Linked DNA regions of Saccharomyces cerevisiae S288C. Changing the gene in region 2 together with the main gene of any one other region gives a genetic interaction. Each region holds a gene or a part of one and is shown on either strand. Other genes may lie near its edges.

Evidence for each region.
Region 1: mutations in VBA4 (region 2) and HOL1 together harm fitness more than expected from each alone (negative genetic interaction), as found in Saccharomyces cerevisiae (one large-scale study listed by BioGRID).

The regions. Positions count from the first base shown.
Region 1 is NC_001146.8:724,427-736,354, reverse strand, and holds HOL1 (Hol1p), read left to right. Parts: upstream 1-6,168; coding exon 6,169-7,929; downstream 7,930-11,928. Other genes in the region: BIO3 (adenosylmethionine-8-amino-7-oxononanoate transaminase), read right to left, coding at 622-2,064; BIO4 (dethiobiotin synthase), read left to right, coding at 2,286-2,999; BIO5 (Bio5p), read left to right, coding at 3,052-4,737. UniProt on the Saccharomyces cerevisiae protein: Seems to be involved in the uptake of several cations and of histidinol.
Region 2 is NC_001136.10:686,466-698,925, forward strand, and holds VBA4 (Vba4p), read left to right. Parts: upstream 1-1,761; coding exon 1,762-4,068; downstream 4,069-12,460. Other genes in the region: APC4 (anaphase promoting complex subunit 4), read left to right, coding at 1-1,375; COX26 (Cox26p), read left to right, coding at 4,549-4,749; TRM1 (tRNA (guanine26-N2)-dimethyltransferase), read right to left, coding at 5,084-6,796; DPB4 (DNA polymerase epsilon noncatalytic subunit), read left to right, coding at 7,120-7,710; serine/threonine protein kinase KIN1, read left to right, coding at 8,235-11,429; INO2 (Ino2p), read right to left, coding at 12,089-12,460. UniProt on the Saccharomyces cerevisiae protein: Transporter required for vacuolar uptake of basic amino acids.

The DNA.
Region 1 (11,928 bases), on a different chromosome or scaffold from region 2:
GTTTACTACATTCAAGGTCTTGTGAATAGTTACTGCGGATAGGTTAATAGAGGAAGATATAGTGCAAAATTTCAAGTAGCGGAAGATAATCAAATGCTGAAGGAAATTTACAGGTTTGCCTCAATAATAATCTTGACTCTGCCGGAAAAATTTACCAGAGGGTTCAAAGGTATGAGTTGTACGACCCGGTTCAACAGTAGTTGCTTGAAGAGTAAGCTGAGCCTATAATATCCCATCTTTTCCGTTCTTCTCATAATAAATAAAAGATAGGATCGTGAGATGTGTCAGCTGCTGAGGAGTGTAACTAGCGCTAATGGGAGAACATAGAAGAGAGTACCGTGATGGCACAGAAGGCGGGTAGGCGACCACGGACCATTTCGGTCCAGATTTCTCAACTCGTACTTCCTGTGATACGTTCTTGCCCTGAACTAGTCAATTTTCTCTTGTGCAGCAGGCTTCGACATAGTTTTATGATAAGAAAAGTAAGATATAAAGGTCCGCTAGAATAAATAACCATAAATTTTTTATTTTGAGTTATATCAATATAAATAATAGCGTAAAAGAATGCATTTTACGCAAGAAATAAGAATTCCTTGGCAAATGACTTGATGAGATCGTATATCATTGGTTTATGTGGGATTTCCACTCATGTAATACTTCAATCAAGACTTGATTAACCTTCGTCAATTCCTCTGTCGTGATCACATATGGTGGCATAATGTAACACAGGCAGTTGAAAGGTCGGATATGTACTCCCTTGGATATAAACTTTTTCTGGAACCACTCGGGATCTGTCTTCTTGTATAGCTCTACGATACCTACAGCTCCAATAACTGACACACGCTTAACAACAGTTCCAATGAGCCCATTATCTGGGTTCTTGATGTACTGGTATAGTTCTCTATAAATTTGGTTTTCAATTGCAGACACTTGTTTTCTCCACTCGCCACGCAGTAGTATATCCATAGACTTTTCTGCCACACTGCATGCCAGGGCATTGCCCATGAAGGTGGGGCCATGCATGAAGCAGCCACCAGTAGGGCTATTTGGAGAAGAGATTCTGGAAGCAACTTTGTCGTTGACTACCACTGCACTCATAGTCATATATCCACTGGTTAAGCCCTTCCCAACGCACAATATGTCAGGAACAACTTTGATCTGATCGGAAGGACTGATGCCATGTTGGTCCTGGTATTTTTGACAGTGCTTGAATGCGAAAATCTCACCTGTTCTACCAAATCCTGTAGCAATCTCGTCCATGATGAATAAAACGTCGTATTGGTTACATAGTTTCTGAACTTCGATTAAGAACTGTGGATGGTATGGTCGCAAACCTCCTGCACCCTGTAAGATAGGCTCCAAAATCACAGCACAGATCTTATCACTATGCAATTCAAATTGCTTCTTGAGATCGGTAACTTCTTCTGCATTCCAATGGTCCTCGAAACCGTTCTGGCTGGTTGGAAGGCCATCGACAATAGAGGGAGCTTGGGCGAAGATGTTCTCACTGAGTCGATCGTTGTAGATATGATGCATAGAATTCTCAGGATCACAAACACTCATAGCGCCAAATGTATCACCATGATACCCGTTCTTGATTGTCAAAAACTTTGTTCTATTTTTAGTAGCTTCCCCTGACATGTTTGATTGTAAAGCCATCTTCAAAGCTACTTCCACTGCTACTGAGCCAGAATCTGCGAGGAAACAGTACTGCAAAGAGGGTTCATCAATCACTTTTAAAAGTTTTTGGACTAGATTCACAGCTCCTTTATGGGTGAATCCACCAAGAAGGACGTGAGAAAACTTTAACATCTGCTTGGTAAGGGCCTCATTTAGTTCTGGATTATTGTACCCGTGAATAACACACCACCACGACGACATGGCGTCGATCACCTCGACGTCCACTGGTGAGTCGGTATCCAACACCAGCTTGCATCCGTGAGCACTCTTTACCGGATAAACGTTCAATGGTGAACTCAATGACGTATAAGGATGCCAAATATGTTTTTTATCAAAGTCTAGCAGTTCCGCGACATCTGGTGTATATGAAATTTCTTGGGACATTAGTTGTTATCCTAGCAATAGAAAACGAATTGCGCTGTTGACATCCTCCCGACCAAAAGAAAATGAAATATACAAACAATGGCTATTTATAATTCAAAATTATTGGGCAAAACAAAATAAAATCCCGCTGGTAGTTCGTTTACTGAAGTATATAAAGAGATATACTTTTTTCCACAAGTAGGCCAGTGAAAAGAACTCAAAAAATCACTAGCGCACAGGTCATGAACAGCAAATCTCAACAACAAGAACAACAACCAATTGTATTCGTCACCGGTACAGACACTGATGTTGGTAAAACCTTTGTATCAACATTATTGGTACACAAATGGAAAGCTGCATACTGGAAACCCGTACAAACTGGAATTGAGTCAGATCAAGGTGACTCCGAGACATTGAAAAATTTCAAAATAGCCGCATCAACTTGGCAACCACCTATATTCACGCCCACTTATGCGCTGCAGAAGCCTCTATCTCCGCTCCAGGCCATGGAGTACGAACCTAATGTCGACATCAGGTTGTTGGATTTCGTAGTTCCTGAAGAGTGGAGCGCAGAGAATCCATTGGTCGTAGAAGGAGCCGGCGGGGTTTGCGTTCCTATCACTCGTAAATTGGAAATTACGACGGATCTAATTAAACATCTGATTGAGACTAGCGGCCATCCAGTGTACGTAGTTGTCGTGGCACGCAGCGGGCTAGGGACTCTGAATCATACATTGCTGACTTGGAATCATCTTTGCGATAATGGCTTGAGAAGCCACCTTTTTGGGGTCATTCTCAATGGGGAACCGAATGAAGGCAACGTGCAGGCCCTGAAGAAGTTCGGTGTCAATATTATGGCACAGGTTGCACAATGTACTACGGCACATGATCAGGATATGGAGTTGCATGAACTGCCATCGGTGGAGTCATTAATGACCCAACAAGACGTAGAATAGTTTAAATAAAAAAGTTGCAAGGCTTTCATCAGCTATATATAAGTAGCATGGTATGAACAGAGTAGGGGCAGTGTTCCTATTTGTATATGAAAGAAATTTTTTTTTGTCTATTGTTCCAGATCGTCACAGGACGGAAATAAGAATGTCTAGTTCAGAAAGGTCAGAAGTCAAGTTTGACAAGCACTTTAATTGGTGGTCCCTATTAGGTATCGCGTTCTCATTAAGTTGCTCATGGGTCGGTATCTCAGCGTCGATGGCCGTTGGTATTGCCAGTGGAGGGCCACTGCTTATCATCTATGGGTTGATAATTGCTGCTTTTTTCAGTCTCATGTGTGGTATATCTCTGGGAGATTTTGCTGCTATCCTGCCAAACAGCAGCGGTGGTTCATTTTGGGTTCTTAAAATGTTGGAACAAGAATCAGTCACTTTGAAAACCCCTGAGTACGAGGACCCTTCTGACGATGATGAAGAAGTGTTCCTCGAGAATTATTGTCAAACTTTCAACGTGGAAGTTTCTTCTAAATTTCAAAAGGTTTCTTCCATGGTTGTAGGGTTGCTGAACTATTTCGGTGCCATTTTTACTACCGCAAGTATCTGCTCATCTTTGTCAATGAGCTGTATCGGTATTCATAAGTTGTTGCATCCGGACTACGAGTTAAAGCACTGGCATGTTTTTGTGGGTTACGAGTGTATCAATGCCGTTTTGACACTTTTCAACATTTATTCAACTCCGTTGCCCTATATCTCTCAGTTTGGGCTCTATACGTCTCTATTGTCTTTCGCCATGACTTTCATTATTTGTATTGTTTCAAGATCTGACAACACCGTAGACCCATGGCCCAAAGCTTCTAATATATTTGGGAGCTTTGATAATCAAACAGGCTGGAATTCGTCTGGAATGGCGTTTGTTGTCGGTTTGGTCAATCCGATCTGGGCATTTGTTGGCATTGACTCTGCTACGCACATGATTGATGAAGTGGGTTATAGTAAGTCACGTTTCTTAGTTCCCAAAGTTATTATCACTACCATCATTGTGGGCTTTGTAACTAGTTTTATTTATTGCGTTGGTTTGTTTTTCTGCATCACTGACCAAACGGCAGTCGTTGAGTCTATTTTACCTATCGTAGAAATATTTTACCAGGCCACTGGTAATAGGAATCTCAGTGTCTTCCTGCAATGTATGTGTATCACAACAGGTTTTGTTTCAGGCATTGCAAGTGGAACCTGGCAAAGTCGAATCCTCCAATCATTCGGGAAAAGTTACGCACCATTTTATAAAGAGGGTTCCTTGGGAAACAAATCCTTGAAGAAGCTAGCAGTGTTGACACCTGGGTTTAAGTCTCCATTATATGCCCATTTTTTGTCACAAATATGTGTAACGATAATTGGCTGTATATTTATGGGATCTAGTACCGCTTTCAACGCAATTATCACTGCATGCATCACCCTGTTACTAATGTCGTACGCAGTTCCTTCTTTTATATTCCTGTTCGTTATTAAAAAGGAAAAATTCATTCATAGAATCGAGAGTGACGTAAATTGTGTCAGCAGGCCTAACCGTCGTCGTATGTCTATGATTCCTCATATTATATGTATTCTATGGACCTTGTTCTGCCTGGTATTTTTATCTTTCCCATATACACTACCGGTTACTGCAGGAAACATGAATTACACCTCAGTAGTGTATGCAGTAGTTTTCTGCATTATCAGCATCGTTGTTTTCCCTACATGCATCTAAGATGCTGTTGAAAGAAAAACAGTCCTTATAAATTCCTAGGTCGATACTACCTTTTGTAGCTCTATCGTCAGAACTTCTGCCCTCCTGTATCATAGTTTCATAAAATAATTGTATATTTATTACCAGAAGTACCCTTGTATTACAAAACTAATCGCACACCACAAAGAGTAAAAGTAGGTACCATAGCAGCAGCGCTTAACCTATTCTCCGTCAGTATGAATGAAATATGTGGATTTCGATTACGATTCATTATAAGATCAGAACACATAAAGCCATTTTACTGAGCTATCTCAACTGCACAAACCATAACAAGTAAAAACTAGCTAGTGTAATTAGGAGATTATCGAAAGTCCTGGTCAAGCAGCAAGTTGGGCGAAAGTGTATTTTTGGTCCTTAAATAGTCCCGATTATGGGAAAATTACAAGTCATGACAAAATTTATTTTATAGGTGCACAAAATAGTCTGTAGATATTTTAATATCAAAAGAAAAAAGACGTATTCGCATGATAGTATATACCAAAGAAGAACGATTCAGAGAATGAATGTGGACAAGTTTTTTTGAGGAAAATGAAAACTAGAAAATCAAGGATATTGAGTACTTAGTCATTTTTTTCATTTTTTTCTTCGAGAAAATTTCTTTTTCATTACTTACTTATTTTTGCCAAGACATTTTTTTATCTTTTAAAATATATTCAAATAGTTCTTCTCTGAACAGAATTTTTCTCTCTTATGATGTACAATTACTTTCTTAAGTCACATATAATACCACACAATGCAAAAATTTCATGCATCAGCTCTCTAAGCTTTGAGAAATGTGTAGTTTGACGTTTACATCAAGGCCTGGTTGTGTCATATGAAATTCTACGGATATTTTTAGGGAGCTTTCGCCTAGCGAGAACAAAAGCATAACAAAAAAAGTTGCAGTTGATGAAAATTTTCTTTTTAGGATAAAGTTATTTTCCAGACAGAAAATTAAACTAAAGACCTCGCCGTTAACAAACCATAGTAGTTTAGACTATTTCCTAACCTTTCTATAGATTCATTTAATTGTCTATTGTCTTCAATCTAAACGATAAAGATAAATACGCAGTCGAATAAGAAAGAATTATCTGTATCAGTCTCTGAGGTAATATTTACTGAACCTCCTCTGCAAAAATAAAACAAGCCCATTTTGTTGTCGAAAGCGCTAGCATCCTTAATTTTACGATACTATTTCATGCTATTACTACCAAGTTGACATCCCTTATTATCTTATTTATTTGAAACTAGAAGAATAGCAAGTAAACACTAAATCCGAAAGAATCGAAGTATCATATTACAATCTACAGGATATAACAAAACAGCTTCGCAACTTTTGCATTTCTAACGAATATAAAGAAAAGAACTACTATAGAAGAAAGTTTGCGAGTGTGAATCTTAAATTTTTAACAGATGGACAAATATACCAACAGGGATCATCCGGACTATATTCCTGGCACATTTAACATCTATTCTTCCCAAAATTTGGAAAATGGTATTATATACGAATCAAAATTGAAGAAAACCTCCTCAGGAGTCGTCCTAATCCCTCAACCATCATACTCGCCAAATGATCCACTGAACTGGTCTAGCTGGAGGAAATTGGCTCATTTTGGTCTAATGGCCTTTATAACTGCGTTTACCGCCGCTACTAGTAACGACGCTGGTGCTGCTCAAGACTCATTGAATGAGATTTATGGGATATCCTACGATTCCATGAACACAGGGGCTGGTGTTCTTTTCCTAGGTATTGGTTGGTCCACTTTATTCTTGGCTCCATTTGCTAACTTGTATGGCAGGAAGATTACGTACATAGTTTGCACCACATTAGGTCTCTTTGGTGCGCTTTGGTTTGCTTTGGCCAAAAGAACGAGCGACACAATATGGTCTCAGTTGTTTGTAGGTATTAGTGAGTCCTGTGCTGAAGCCCAGGTGCAACTGTCCCTGAGCGACATTTTTTTCCAGCACCAATTGGGCTCCGTATTGACCGTGTATATCATGTGCACTAGTATCGGTACGTTCTTGGGCCCATTGATCGCTGGGTACATATCTGCATTTACCAACTTCCGTTGGGTCGGTTGGGTCGCAGTGATCATATCTGGTGGCCTTTTAATAACTATTATATTTGGCTGCGAAGAAACGTACTTCGACAGAGGCCAGTATATGACCCCTTTGACCAGCTGTCAATCGGGATACGAAGACGGTACCACTTTACAAAACTCTGACAATACGGCCGTGTCGCGCAGGAAACGTCATCTTGACGCTAAATTATCAACTCCTGGAGCCATGGGTGAGAAAGGTGTAGACCTTTCAGAGACGGCTGAATTCGAAGTTAACAATGAAGAGGAAGTTACCATACCTGAGACTCGCGAATTGATTGATGGTTCAAAAGAGCATTTGAAACCATACCCAAAAAGAGTAGCAATATTAACCAAAGCTACTAATTTGAAAGGCTACGGTTTTAAACAGTATTTCAAATATCTAAAGATCAACCTTAGAATGTTCTTATTCCCGCCAGTGTGGTTGTCTGGTATGTTTTGGGGTATTCAAGACGTTTTCCTGACGTTTTATTTGACCACTCAAGAAAGCGCCTACTACGAACCTCCATGGAACTATAGTGATTTTGGTGTCGCAATTATGAATGTTCCCACACTTATTGGAGCAGTCATCGGTTGTATCTGTGCTGGCATTGTTAGTGACTACTTTGTTCTTTGGATGGCTCGTCACAATAGAGGAATTTTAGAGGCAGAATTTAGACTATACTTCTCTATCGCAACTGCAATTATTGGGCCAGCGGGTTTGCTGATGTTTGGTATCGGTACCGCTAGACAATGGCCTTGGCAAGCTATATACGTCGGGTTGGGTTTTGTTGGGTTTGCATGGGGTTGTTCTGGTGATATTGCGATGGCGTATTTAATGGATTGTTACCCCGATATGGTTTTGGAAGGTATGGTTTGTACTGCTATTATTAACAACACGATATCTTGCATTTTCACCTTTACCTGTTCTGATTGGCTAGCTGCATCTGGTACTGAAAATACTTACATTGCTTTAGCTGTCATCAACTTTGGGATTACTGCATTTGCTTTACCAATGTACTACTATGGTAAGAGGATAAGACTTTGGACTAAGAGATGGTATTTGCAATCTGTCAATTTGAGAGACGGTGTGTAATTCAGAGACGTCTTTCTTGTATCTAGTAGATGATAGGAATTAAGTATTTTTTTTTTACCTAACTAGGATTATAATTGCAACAACAAAAGCGCCCTTCGTGAAACACGTGGGATACCGGTTAGGTAATATTACAGTTTCCTTACACACTTACTAAATACGCAACAGAGCATGTTATTAATCGTATATTTAAGTAATAATAACGTATTGACCATTCCTAAGACTGAAGCAGTACCAAGAAATGGCACTTTTTGTTTATATGACATAGTAAAAGTGTTCATTTGGCAGAAAACAAGGGTATCTGGATACTGCAATCCTCATTAGTTGCGGAGAGCTTTTTTAAAGTTTTATTACTTCGATAATGCTTTCCTCCAGAACTGGGCGCGCACTGAAGCCATAAACTGAGTGGTTGTCCCTGTGTATATTCTACAATCGCCTATTTGAAACTTCTGGGTGATAATATCGATTTAGCGATTGGGTTTCTCCCTTCTGAGATTCTGGATAAATGAGATGCTACCCTCACAGTAAAAACAGTACAAAACCTTTGTATAGTTCTAGTCAAATATGAACTCCTTCATTCATGGATTGTATACTATTGTTCTTGTTGAAAGATTCCTCTTGTGATTTTCATGGTGATTTTAAGCCTTTTTTATTGAAAGAATTAAATATTCACTAGGCTGCGATACGATAGACAAACGAAGTGATTGAAACCCGAATTAACGGATATGGCGATTATGTGTGTTTATGATCCCAATATTTGATTGTCGGAAAAAATTAATCATCTATTGGTGTGTACTCATACTACTTGTATCATATACAGTGTAAAATGACGACATAATTGATGGGAAACAGTTATCAAAGTTATTGGATGTTGAATTGCAAGAATTGATGAAGTAATAGGATAAGGAATGACAACGTATAAAATTGAAGGAGAAATAAAAATATATATTATATAGAAGTATCGGGCCCCTTTCGTAGATTCCTATATCCTACAGGATAACTTTTGGTACATTCTGTAGACCTAAGTTCATAGCTTTTATAAACAATTAATCCCAAAAAATGTCTCTTTTGATGATTAGATGTTAAAAGGTGATATTACTGACTACTTGTTCGAAGTGCCTACGCAACACTTTAGCTGCTTTTTTTAAGCAGCGGCAGATGAGGATTTAAATAACGCATAACCAAGAATATACCTAATGAAGTGAAGGTATACAGGCTGTTCTATGGACTTGAATAATACTGGCTACCCTGGCGTCCTAATGTCGTTAAGAAAGTAACTTGATATCAGATTAATCACAAACTTGGTCCACAAAATACCACTTATCTCATATAATCTAAATCTGACTAAAGGGTGTAGGCACGGAACTTCGGACCTAGAGGTATTGCTCAATATGTATATTTCTCAATGGTTCATCTAGGTAAGCAAGGCCTTGAATAATATACTTAATCTTGTCTGTTTCGCAACAATTGCTGAGTACAATAATGTTGGAATAAAAATCAACTATCATCTACTAACTAGTATTTACGTTACTAGTATATTATCATATACGGTGTTAGAAGATGACGCAAATGATGAGAAATAGTCATCTAAATTAGTGGAAGCTGAAACGCAAGGATTGATAATGTAATAGGATCAATGAATATTAACATATAAAATGATGATAATAATATTTATAGAATTGTGTAGAATTGCAGATTCCCTTTTATGGATTCCTAAATCCTCGAGGAGAACTTCTAGTATATCTACATACCTAATATTATAGCCTTAATCACAATGGAATCCCAACAATTATCTCAAAACTCACCCACTCTTCAAATAATGATGTGGTATACTACCTGAAATACGATAAAAAGTGTTGTATTACGGGCTCGAGTAATACCGGAGTGTCTTGACAATCCTAATATAAACAGTCTTAGGGAAGTAACCAGTTGTCAAAACAGTTTATCAGATTAATTCACGGAATGTTACTTATCTTATATATTATATAAAATATGAATCATGCTAAGTGGTGGAAGCGCGGAATCTCGGATCTAAACTAATTGTTCAGGCATTTATACTTTTGGGTAGTTCAGCTAGGGAAGGACGGGTTTTGTCTCATGTTGTTCGTTTTGTTATAAGGTTGTTTCATATGTGTTTTATGAACGTTTAGGATCTCAAAATGTCATACTGACGTATCTCATTTTGAGATACAACAAAAAGTATAAATCTTTGGAGGGTTGGCCGAGTGGTCTAAGGCGGCAGACTTAAGATCTGTTGGACGGTTGTCCGCGCGAGTTCGAACCTCGCATCCTTCAGTATTTTTTTTTATTTTGTCGGGGCCACCAGATCTTTAATGGCAAGACAAAGCGTTTTCAGATACATGAAATACATTGAAGCTATCTTTTTGAAGAAGAATACCTGCGTAGTGTTCTATGATTGTTCAAATAATATTTTAAAATGGTATTTTACTACTGTGTACATTTTATATGCTTAAATAAAAAAGAAAGTAGAGCACCCAATGTACGTGTGGTAAGGAAATAAATGTTCATAATTTTCATTAATGCATCAAACGGGATAAATGTTTTGGAAGAACGCAAATTTTGAAAATAGATTCCATTGGCTCTTGATAGTTGCTTTACGTATATTTTGTTTAGCCTTCTTTCCCTCATATAAGTATGCAGCTCTTCATTTTCCAAACCAGGATGAGATATGGATATATAGTTTCCCACTGAATCTTTGTGTCAATGCTACGCCCATCTTCTGCACGTCAGAACAGAATAACTACCTTGAGAAGAAAAAAAAAATACAAATGGTGGTTACTTGATAATGAATATGCTCTAATTGAAAAGAAATCTCCCTAGATATGATACCGCCCTCGACGACCCGATCTTTGGTATTTGGTAGGACTGTATCATCTTATTCCTCACATCATAGCAATTTTGTTCGTCATAATGTTCCTTTAGTTCTCAGAGTCATATGAATTCTATTTCCATAGAATTTTCCATTTTGAGCAATACGGGGAGTCGCTACCTCGATTCTAAGTTATGCTGCATTGACTTTATTGTGTGATATACATATCGATGTACTAGAAAGGGTTTGGTTTGGCCAAGTTTTTTATTATGAGGGTGCATTTTTTCTGTTTTAACACATTTCTCATGATCCTAATAGAAGGTTGAGTAGAGATGTACATAATATTTTGCGGAAAGTTTCGACACGTTCATTAGGTTCTAAAAAATTATTATTTTTCATAAGCTATTGAGATCTTATCACCTTGCTCTGTAATTCTAAAGTTGTTCTAAAACCGCAATTAATGTTTCAATTTTGGCGCTATTAATAATGATGGATACTCAACGAGGCGTACCAGTAGCATTTTGCCATCTTAACACATTAGCAAACGTTGCTATTATTGATCCTTCCATAAGTAATTTCACACATCCATTTTCGTCCCTAAGATAAAACAAAGTCTCACAATTCGTATATTGATATTTCAAACCCCAAAGCCTGTAGCCTTTTGATTATGACCGACTTCCCAGACGTGGCCATATTGATAAAGGTGCTTTCTGATCAAAGTTAGTATTAAAGAAAGGGTAAAATTCGTAATATCGTAATATTGTAATATGAACCAAAAACGTTCACAATGTGTAGGATGCACTACCAAATAGGTTGCGTTGTAGTACTCATCTCTCGGTTGCGCGACTAGAAAGTTACTAGAAAACTCCGGAATTCCTTATAATATACTGCAATAATGCACATGTATCTTTTCAGTGCAAATTAATTATAGGAACAAACAGATAGCGACAATTCTTTAAGGGCTGCTGGATTGACAACCCCTTCATCGACCATATTTGATTAGCCAGCCACCAAATAGCGTTTCAATTGACAAACTACATTATCTCGTGAAGAATATTTAAACGGTGATATTGGGTCTGTCTGATCACATTTCCAAAGGCAATGACGTGTAAATTTTTTCTTTCTCTTGTTTTATTATTTTGAATTACTTCGTTATAGCCAGCTTTTCTCAC
Region 2 (12,460 bases):
AAAATCAATTATCAAAGTTCAAGATGGCTTTTACCAGTGCTTCTATGAGGATGGAACTGTACAAACTTTAAATTTAGGACCTTTATTACAGAGCAAATCATCAGTGAACCTGCTGAATTATATAATGGTAATAAAAGAGCTTATAGGTTATATGCTTACTCATCTCGAGTTCATTAACCGGGAACTGGCAACACCTTATTTAGATTTCGTCAAAAGATTGTGTGATGAAGCCTACGGATATGGCAAACTCAAATCGGAATTAGAAGCCCTCTTTTTACTTGGAGAGATCTCATGTGACTTGGAAGACTGGCTTTGCAATTCAGTAGGTGAGAAGAACTTTAAAAGGTGGAAGTATTTAGGTTGTGAAGCTTACCAAAAAACTGTTCAGATTTTAACTTTAATATTTGTACCCGCATGTGAAAGAATCATTATTTATGTGGAGAAGTTAAGGGCAATATTACAAGCCTTTTCTATACAGAATAAGCTCAGTTATACGTCAGATTTGACAGCTGTTGAAGTGCTCCTAAAAAGTTCACAGAAATTGTTAACTATGACATTAAATTCAATAATAGGCTTGGGGAGGGACGAAACACTTTTTGAGAAGTTTTTCATATGGTTCAACGACAGACTTCATGAAGCGCTAGATGAAGATTATAAACTGAAATTTCAATTTGAGGATGATCTTTACTTTGGATACGATTTACTAAGTTACTTTGACAGAATCTTATCTAAAAAAGGTACGGAACCTAGCTCAATAATCGACGTGAAACTTTATAGAGACCTAATTAACAGCATGTCTGATATGGAAAAAGATATTGCACAAAGTAATGTTAATTCTCATATTCAACAGCATATTCTGGTTGATTTAAAAACGGATGTTTTTGCGCAAAAATATCCATCTTCGCAAATAAATTTGCTTGATGCCATAAAATTACCAAAGCATAATTACATAGTCTACCTTATTCAGGTAACAAAACACAACAGTGCTCAAGAACCTTTCTCAGAAGAAAACAAAAAGAAACTATATATAGGTACTCTGAAAGATGAGAATTTAGGCATTATATCAAAGGAATCGTCAGTCAAGATTCCGGCGCTATTCAAGAGCTATAGGTTGAGCAGTACAAGGTTTGTGCCGAATAGGGTCCATAGCTTGCTTCGGGATATTGGATTGTCAGATAGTAACTATCATAGTAGCCACGTCACCGATTATAGGGGAGAAAACTATGAAAACGAGGAAGATGATGGCACAATAGCTATTCCTGCTTACATCAGGGAGAATAGGGAAAATGATGATTTCATAGCATGCACCGCGAAGGTATCGGTGGATGGAAGAAGCGCATCCCTAGTGTTTCCAAAAGAAAAACAAAATGTTTGACACATAGACAGATGACGAGTAGCTTTTTTTTAGTATTTGCATAATGATCACCAATAATAGTAGTAATGAAATGTAAGCGTAAATAGCGTATGCATCATCTCCCAAGACTTTTCTTTTGTATGGCGCACTATGAAGAAGTTTGGAACCCGCCTGTGGTGTACTGAGAAAAAAAAAAAATTTCAAGGGCCCGCAATCTCAAAATGGAGTCAATTGTGTCAAGTCTTTTTTTTTTTTTTCATCGTTATCTCACTTTTTATTGCTTATCTTAAGATAATTTAGCTGATATACTATATAGAATAGCCGAAGTGTCAGTTTACTCAGATTTTTGCTACTTTTGATTACTTTTTTTTTACATTTTCAAGGTAATTGACGTCGGTTAAGTAGAGATGGGGAAGAAGGATAGACAGCGCAAGAAACTGCGTGAGTTTGCTAAATTGAAAAACAGGCAGCGAAACTTGAGAAAGAGCGTGCAAACATTGAAGAATGAGGTTCAACGAGAGGCTAAAGTCCCAAGAACTTCGAATCAAATTGCTTTAGGAAACGACAAAATCGAAGAGATTAACGAAAATAGTCCATTATTATCAGCTCCTAGTAAACAAGAGGAGGTATCAATTCCGAAAGCGGTTGATATTGATACCATTGATGCACAGCCTCTTCACGAAGGCCCAAAAATTGATGACTCGCCCCAAGATGAGGTCAATAGCATTAAAGGAAAACCTGCGGACAAGGCTAATGAAGACGATCTTAAGCCGCCTTCACAACATGAAGCATGTGGAAATTCAGCTTTGCAAAGCTCTATTACAGATTTTAGTGATAGATCAGTATCACCATTGCAAAGTATTACCAGCTGCAATACTCCGATGAGTGAGCACGAGCTACCAGTATCTTCCTCAAATTCGTTTGAAAGAGCTGATGATATGCCTGTAGTGCAGGCAGATAACCAGACGTCAAGTAGTAAATCTTTGCACATTGTTGCACCATCTCCTGAAGTACCAGTCAGCGGAGATGAAATCACTTCATATGGATATGGCTCTATACCCCAGAGCATCGGGGATGTAGAGAACGGATTGAATCCTCCTTATGTCGAAAATACATCATCTGATGAACTTGTACATGATCTGACGAGAAGACGGATATTTTCATCCTGTATGTGTACTTATTTATTCTTTATTGCAATGGACAGTTCTATAATCCTAGTAATTGCGTCCAAAATTGCTTCGGAGTTTCATGAGTTATGGAGATTATCCTTAGTCATCTCAGCATACCTATTGAGTAATGCTATTGGGCAACTGGTATTTTTGAAGCTATCTTTAATATCCAGTGTAAAATTGTTGTTGTGTATTGCTCAATTCAGTTTTATCCTTGGTGGCTATTTATCTTGGAGTTCTGCCCATTTTTGGACGTTTATCTTTGCCCGTTGTGTCACAGGATTTGGGGGCGGTTCCTTAATAGCGCTCAAAAGTACTATTATGAATCGGTTTTCTCAAAAGAACGACAGTCGGTACTCATTGAGTGCCTCTATGATAACATTTGCTATGGGTGTGGTAATTGGGCCCTTTATGATGAACTTGTTTGATTCTTCTCATGGTAGCGGGTGGAGAAATGCCTTCTTAATACCAGTTCCTTTTTGCCTTGTGAATGCCTCGATTATGCTGGCAGATATGTATTCTGTTAAGAGCACTTTATATGGACGCCCAACGCCTACATTATGGAAAAGATTCAAGAATACTCTATTAAGTCCTGATTTATACGAAATATTGACACTTACGCTATTCCTACTTTGTTTCGTTCAAGTGACCTCATTGGATTTAACAGGGTTAAAGAATAATACGATGATTCAAGCGCTACTATTTTCTGTAATTATCGTTTGTGGCATTTTATTTTTCTTGATAGAGACAAGCGATACTTACATGAACTCTGTAATTTCAATGTCCTTACAAGGTGACAAGCGTTTAATATGGACAATGATAGGAATTTCATTTTGCTTTGCAGCATTAATGTGCATCATCCCATTCGGTACAACGTACTTCATCATTGTTTTAAATTTAAGCACTTTACAACTTGCAGAGAGATTGTCCCCATTCTTTTTCTCCATTGTACTGGGTTACTTTAGTGTTTCTTATTTTTGGAAGTCGAAAGGACAGAATTTTTTGCTAAAATTTGTTTTAAGCGGAGCCACCCTGTTACTATATGTGGCACTTATGGGGGTAAGTTTGAATTTACCAGTATGGAAGCAATATATATGTTTGTCTCTGCCATTTTTGGGCTCCTCTATGATATTGACCTTGCTGTCAAATCTTTATCATGAGTACCATGAACAAAGAAAGTCACCTATCAGTGGTTCTATCGTATATTGTTTCGGTGCCGTGGGGGGGACGGTTGGTATTTCCTTGGGTGGTTATGTCTTCCACAAAACATTAATAAAACTTATGCATGAGAAGGTGATGCCATTTAGCAAGCAAGGTTATCTTAAAAAGGACCTTTTGAAAATTATCAAGCACGCTACGGAATCTTCAGATTGGGTACACGAATCAGCCCCAAAGTTTGTTTTTCAAACTTTGATTGAGTGTTATTTACAAGCATGTCGAAACGTATTCAAACTCTCTACCCTTTTTTTTACGATTACTGTCGTAGCAATATTCATTTTCAACAGAATCCATTGTCGTAGTCAAAATTGTTTGTCACTATCTTGAACCGGTAGATGAAAATGTATACTTTAAATAATACAAATACTTTTTTTCTTTTTTCTTAAACCCGATAATACTTTTGTCGCTTAGATAAAGATGCAGGGAACTTCAATCATTGTGGTGACCGCACAAAGGCGGGATCTGAAAAATGATCGTATGGGGCGGGGGAAGAATAGAAGAGTGAACAAGGGGATATGGTATCCGTGCAAGAAATGAATGGCCAGAATAGCTTGATTTTTACTTGCTGAAAATGCAGCAAGCGGAAACCCCTCTATCAGTAGGCAACCAAAGAAAACATGGTTTTGTTTATGATAGTGTTTTCTCCGACTAAATGACACTTAATATATAAGCCAGTCATTTTTCTTTCATACTTTCCTCTTGCATGACGAAACAATTCTTTTTTTATTTCGTTTCCTTGTCTGTACTTTTTAGACACTTGACCATATCACAGATATTTACAGACTCTTTTAATTCTAAATAGGTAAAATGTTCTTCAGCCAAGTTTTGAGATCTTCCGCTCGTGCTGCCCCAATCAAGAGGTATACAGGCGGTAGAATAGGTGAATCGTGGGTAATTACGGAAGGTAGAAGGCTCATTCCAGAAATCTTTCAATGGAGTGCAGTATTGAGCGTTTGTTTAGGTTGGCCTGGTGCTGTATACTTCTTTAGTAAGGCAAGAAAAGCATGAGTTTGATAAGAAAAAAAAATTTGCTAAAAATGAGTGTAACACTACCAACATGGCGAGTTTAGTTTGATACTAGGCGCTATACATTATTATTTATATGCCCAGAGGTTACAACAGTGGCTACAATGCAAAAAATATACTGGCTTATATTTTTCATTTGAGATCTGGTTCCTCAAATATATATATATATTTATTTATTTTTTACACATACATACTGCCCTCCTGATTACTTTAAACATCTATATTACAAAAGAGAAGCATTCTTTTCCGTCCATTATACCGTTCTCGGGCGGATCCTTAGTTTCTTACGTTTTAGCTCTAACACTAATCAAAATTCTTATGAAGTGTTGGGACGGGCTTTTGGGCCCCAATTCTTTGTTGGATTTTCCTGATATCTCACAATTTTTAGCTTCCTTAGTTTTTCAATATTACCGCTTTGTTCATTTGGTGCGAACGACAGCTTTGAGTCATACTCTGATTTGACAGTGCCACTCAACCATCCTGGCATTGCCGATAAAATCTTATAGCCCGTAGTATTTGGATTCATTTTGCTTAAGTCTTTCTTCTCATCATCACATTTCTGCATCACATACCAGATTGCATCCCATGGAGCGTTAGTCTTTAGGGACGATGGTTGGGCATGTGTCAATGAACATTCAAAGCCTAGGGAACCTAGGCCTGCGACTACTTTTTTCAAGGGAGGTACTTGTAATTTTATTACCGATGCAATATGGTTAGGACTGAAATAGAATGGCGAATCGGATAATTCATTCTTAGCTAGAGATAGCATACCTTCAATTCTTTTACGTGTTCCATATGTATCATCCTGGTCACGATGCTCTTCTTTATTAATTCTCAACACCTCCTCGATGAACTCCTTGTTGTGTAGAGGTCCTGCATACATTGGACCAGCTAAATGGTATGTCCCCTCGCAGAACTTACATTTAGTATCAACCGGAGGCCCTTGCGCAACCGAGTATTTGGTGAATGTTTTGTTGTTCCTACCTTCGCGTTGAGAAATTCTGCCCAGAGGTTGATTGTGGTAAGAGCCGCAACGGGAACAATGGTAAGTAGTCATAGTACTTGACATAACGTTTTTGACTTCAATCGGGCTTGTTTTGACTTTGACAAAAACTCTGACGTAAAAGTCAATGCTCAACGACAAAAGCGGTTCCACAGTTTTCTTGTATTTCGCGGCAGTTTGCTTTAGTAAGTTCAATACTAGTCTCAGCGCACTTTCGTGAGTTGATTCATGAGAAACCATATTTGCACCACCATATAAGGCAAAACACTTTTCTGGGTATCCGTTACCGGCCAAAACGGATAAATCAGTGCAAGTTACCAGCATTAGACCACCCTCCTCAATACTCTGAATAGCCGCATCTACAAAAGGTGTAACGGTACCGTAAGGATCCAAGTCGATGACGTGAAACTTATTATTCGTCGCTTTGTTACGGTACATTAAGACATTAGCATCATCAAGGTTTGGCTTGACAATGTTTTCGACACTATTATATTCAACGTTTCGTTTTATAGATTCGACAGCCTCTGGAAGTAAATCGTTAGCAATAACTTCCCTCACATGGGGAATTTCATGAGCATACCTAATGGCTCTTAACCCAGTGGCTGACAATGCTTCCAAAATATTTATATAAGGTTCGTTTCGATTAGAATTACCAACGGCTTCTTTTGGTGACCCGTTTCCCATTTTTTGACGCTTGGAAGAATCATCGTTAGTTTCCGCGCACCTTTTCTTCTTACTTTTTTTATTATTTCTCTTTTGGCCACATTCCTCACCATATAGGTTGTCCCACGCCTTGATGCATGTAACACTTAGATCTCTATTAAATTGTTGGATGGGATTATAGAAAACAGTTTCCTTTTTAGGGAAAAGAATTTCTGCTTTTCCTTCCTTGACTATATTGAAATCCTCAATATTGATTCTTGGTGCACCATACGCGGTAAAATTCGCTTTAATTTTGGATATAGCAGCCTTCAACATTCCGTGTAAATTTGCCCGCTTGAGGGGTATCCTGAAGAAACCTTCCATATCTACATTGTAAGAGGAAAGGTATCAACTTATGACTGCTCAGGATCTGTAACTTTGCGATGAGCATTGAATGCGATGAAAAAAAAATAATGCTTTATCCCTTTGGACGAATAAAGAAAGGCTCAAATTGGAATAACGTTAAAAACCAGATTCGATCATCAGAGCTTAAAATTGTTATTCATAGCGGCACAATAGCAGAAGCCACAGAATATTACCTAGAGGTTTTAGGTGAAAGGAAGGATTTTTTTAATTATTTAATACTTTGAAATAGAAGTCAAGCCTTTCATTGCTTATTTATATCAGACCATATATTTTTACACACGATGCCACCAAAAGGTTGGAGAAAAGACGCCCAAGGGAATTACCCCACTACTTCGTATATTAAAGAACAAGAGAACATTACGATTCAGGACCTGTTATTTCCTAAAAGCACTATTGTGAATTTGGCACGCGAAGTGCCACAGCAAAGCGGCAAAAAGCTGCTGATAAATAAAGACGCATCACTAGCGTTACAGCGTGGTGCTACAGTATTTGTTAACCACTTGCTCCTGTTTGCAAGGGAAATTGCAAAGAGTCAAGATAAAAAAAGCTGCAGTGTAGATGATGTTCTGAGTGCTTTGGACCATATAGGACACTCGGCATTGAAGGGTCCGGTTAGAGATAAACTAGATGAATACCAAGCTGCTGTTGAACAGAGGAAGAAGGAAAAACTAGATAGTGGTGAAGTAGATGCTGATGGCGATATAGATATGGGTGAAGATAAGGAGAATGTGCCCGTGGAAAAGGTTAAAGAGCATGACGAAATAGAAGAACAAGGCGATGCATTACAGGACGTAGAAGAGTCCTCCGAAAAGAAACAGAAAACGGAGAGCCAAGATGTAGAAACTAGAGTTCAAAACCTTGAGCAAACGTAACCCCGCTATGGAAACTGTCTAGTAGTGCTTGCCACCACTCCCACAGGATCGTAGTATGTAACTTGCCTTTATTACCTACATACATAATAAGCTATACTCATCGTCGTTATTTGCAAGCCGGGGAACCCAACGCGGCGCCAATGCGGAAGGAAAGAAAGGGGACAAGAAGTTGATATTGGTGGAACGTTAACAAGAAATTATGGCGTTGAGGAAGTGTATTAGCGAGATACGATATCAAGCAGGTTTAGTTAGAGCCACTTTGTGATTTGAAATTTTTTGAGATTTACTTCGTTATTATAAGGACATACGGTAACCTAGGCTAGTTAACATAATTAGTTGTCACCCTTCGCCCCCCTACCCTATCGGTCTTTCATTTTCCAACTATTGATTAGTAAAATTCAAACATCTTTGCTCCGATTAGAGCAACTGAATATACTAGGGATTTTGGGCTATTACGCATTTTTTTTTTCAACTTCTTTTAAACAGGTACAGTTTATTACGATTACTTTTTGCTCACGTAGAATATGGATGATTATCACGTAAATACTGCCTTCTCAATGGGCAGAGGTAACCAGCAGGATGATGGCAATAGTGAAAGCAACAGCATGCATACACAACCAAGCACTATGGCGCCCGCTACGCTGAGAATGATGGGAAAAAGTCCACAGCAGCAGCAGCAGCAGAACACACCGCTAATGCCCCCGGCGGATATCAAATACGCCAATAATGGTAACTCACATCAAGCAGAGCAAAAGGAGAGACAAGTAGAACTTGAAGGTAAATCGAGAGAGAATGCACCAAAGCCAAATACTACCAGCCAGAGTCGAGTTTCGTCTTCTCAGGGCATGCCTAAGCAGTTTCATCGAAAATCGTTAGGAGATTGGGAGTTTGTTGAAACAGTTGGTGCAGGTTCTATGGGTAAAGTGAAGCTGGCAAAACATCGTTACACTAATGAGGTTTGTGCAGTAAAAATTGTAAACCGTGCTACAAAGGCTTTCCTACATAAAGAACAAATGCTGCCACCACCCAAAAATGAACAAGATGTTTTGGAGAGACAGAAGAAATTAGAGAAGGAAATATCTAGGGACAAAAGAACTATTCGAGAAGCGTCCTTGGGACAAATCTTATATCATCCACACATATGTAGACTTTTTGAGATGTGCACGTTGTCAAATCATTTCTATATGTTGTTTGAATATGTTTCAGGTGGTCAGCTGTTAGACTATATCATCCAACATGGGTCAATACGAGAACACCAAGCGAGAAAGTTTGCTAGGGGTATCGCGAGCGCCTTAATATATTTGCATGCTAACAACATCGTCCATAGAGATTTGAAGATAGAAAATATAATGATTTCAGATTCCAGTGAAATCAAGATAATTGATTTTGGACTTTCAAATATTTATGATTCTAGGAAGCAGCTTCATACATTCTGTGGCTCTCTGTATTTTGCCGCTCCCGAGCTGTTAAAAGCGAATCCTTATACAGGACCTGAAGTAGATGTCTGGTCATTTGGTGTAGTTTTATTTGTTTTGGTATGCGGTAAAGTGCCATTTGACGACGAAAATTCGAGCGTTTTACATGAAAAGATCAAGCAAGGTAAGGTTGAATATCCCCAACATTTATCTATCGAAGTAATATCACTGTTATCCAAAATGTTGGTAGTAGATCCGAAAAGAAGAGCCACACTTAAACAGGTTGTGGAGCACCACTGGATGGTAAGAGGGTTCAATGGTCCCCCTCCTTCTTACTTACCGAAAAGAGTTCCCCTAACTATCGAAATGCTTGATATAAATGTCTTAAAAGAAATGTACCGTTTAGAATTTATTGACGATGTAGAGGAAACAAGAAGTGTTTTGGTCAGTATAATCACAGATCCTACTTACGTTCTTCTCTCTAGACAATACTGGACTTTAGCGGCCAAAATGAACGCAGAATCCAGTGATAACGGAAACGCGCCAAACATAACAGAGAGTTTTGAAGACCCAACTCGGGCATATCATCCAATGATTTCCATATATTACTTGACTTCTGAGATGCTTGATAGGAAACATGCGAAAATTCGGAATCAACAACAGCGACAGAGCCACGAAAATATAGAAAAGCTTTCTGAAATACCGGAAAGTGTGAAGCAAAGGGACGTAGAGGTCAATACAACCGCTATGAAATCAGAGCCAGAAGCCACGTTGGCGACAAAAGATACCTCTGTGCCATTCACTCCAAAGAATAGCGATGGCACAGAGCCCCCCTTACATGTCTTAATTCCACCGAGGTTAGCAATGCCAGAACAAGCGCATACGTCACCAACGAGTAGAAAAAGTTCTGATAATCAACGCCGTGAAATGGAATATGCTCTCTCTCCAACTCCTCAGGGAAATGACTATCAACAATTTAGGGTACCTTCAACTACTGGCGATCCCTCAGAAAAGGCGAAGTTTGGGAATATATTTAGAAAATTATCACAGCGCCGTAAAAAGACCATTGAACAGACATCTGTTAATAGTAATAATAGTATCAATAAACCTGTGCAAAAGACGCATTCTCGCGCTGTTTCAGACTTTGTCCCTGGTTTTGCTAAACCGAGTTATGATTCAAATTATACCATGAATGAGCCTGTCAAGACAAACGATAGCAGAGGTGGCAATAAAGGTGACTTTCCAGCATTGCCTGCGGATGCAGAAAATATGGTAGAGAAGCAAAGGGAGAAGCAAATTGAAGAAGATATAATGAAATTGCATGATATTAATAAACAGAATAATGAAGTTGCAAAAGGAAGCGGGCGGGAAGCTTACGCTGCACAGAAGTTTGAAGGAAGCGACGACGACGAGAATCATCCCTTACCACCTCTCAATGTTGCAAAAGGTCGAAAACTACATCCAAGCGCAAGAGCTAAATCAGTTGGTCATGCTCGTCGTGAATCACTCAAATATATGAGACCCCCAATGCCTTCATCTGCCTATCCTCAGCAAGAGCTTATAGATACTGGGTTCTTAGAATCAAGTGACGATAACAAATCCGATAGTTTGGGAAATGTTACTTCACAGACGAATGATAGCGTCAGCGTGCATTCTGTGAACGCACACATAAACTCGCCATCTGTGGAGAAGGAATTAACAGATGAAGAGATATTGCAGGAAGCTTCTAGAGCTCCAGCCGGTTCTATGCCATCCATCGATTTCCCCCGTTCTTTATTTTTGAAGGGTTTCTTTTCTGTTCAGACAACTTCATCGAAGCCTTTGCCAATTGTTAGATACAAGATTATGTTTGTTCTGAGGAAAATGAATATAGAGTTCAAGGAGGTTAAGGGTGGTTTTGTTTGTATGCAAAGGTTCTCTTCCAATAATGTGGCAGCGAAGAGAGAAGGGACTCCAAGATCGATCATGCCACTTTCGCACCACGAATCCATTAGACGTCAAGGCTCTAATAAATACTCACCTTCTTCTCCTTTGACAACTAATTCCATTCACCAGAGAAAAACATCTATTACCGAAACCTATGGAGATGATAAGCATTCGGGAACATCTTTGGAGAACATCCACCAACAAGGTGACGGTAGCGAAGGCATGACTACAACAGAAAAAGAGCCCATCAAATTCGAAATTCATATCGTCAAGGTTCGTATTGTTGGTTTAGCCGGTGTGCATTTTAAGAAAATTTCTGGGAACACTTGGTTGTATAAAGAGCTGGCTTCTAGTATATTAAAAGAACTAAAGTTGTAAGTAACACGTTCCCTGAGAAACCACAGCTTACATTTTTGATATTCGAAAACAAGAATATCCGTTCGATAGAAATTTATATATATATATAGATTCTTTTTATTCTCTTTTGGAAAGAAGAAATAGAATGGACCTAAGCAGACACTCAGCAGTTAATATTTTCGTCCCTTAATTGGTATTATTTATAAATAAATGGCACGTACTTTATGTGTAAAGCAGTTCATCATCGATTGATGGAGAGAATTTGTATACGTAGAGCGATCATTGCACCGTTTACCAGGACAGGATTCATATGGATGTAATAGGACTATTACTTCACTGAATCAATACAACTCGTAACGGTCATATAACTGCGAGTTTGTACGCAGTTATTCTGTTTGTGAAGACAGATTATACTTCGCCGTTGAAAGATTTCTTTACTTCACCATCATTGCCTCCGGATTCTCTTAACTTCTAAATAAAATGAAGATACTGGTAATTCTTGTCCGCAAAAATCTACGCTACACTCTGGAAAGAAACGAGATTTTCTACCGTCTGGTTTATAATGAATATATTTACATGACCAGCTTTGCAATCATATGATATTTTCGCCCATGTATACGAAATTAACTAAAAATACATCCAACGGGAGGCCATTTTCATCACTAATAGCTTGTATGAGCTCAGGAATCATCCAGTATGTGCTGTAGTGCTTCATTTGCGCTTCTAATGGACTTGATATCGTTCATTACACAAGTTAAAAGAATATGCTTGGGAATTCTTTTCCCGTTTTCCTTCGGTGGGGTCCTTACTGATTTAATGAGCCTTTCAAAGGCTTCTTTGGTGTTTATTCTTCGTATCTTCTCCATTTGAACGTGTTTCCATTTCCGTACCTTCACAGGGTCGTCCTCGATATTGGCTGGAATATCAGAGTCTGGGATTCGTATCTCAGGTACTGAAAACGGTGGCGGGTTGTAGTGGTCATTGCCGATAGGCTGATGAGGTCCTTCCCTCGTGGTGAACTCAGTTGGCACATCTGCTGTGTTTGTGGGTAA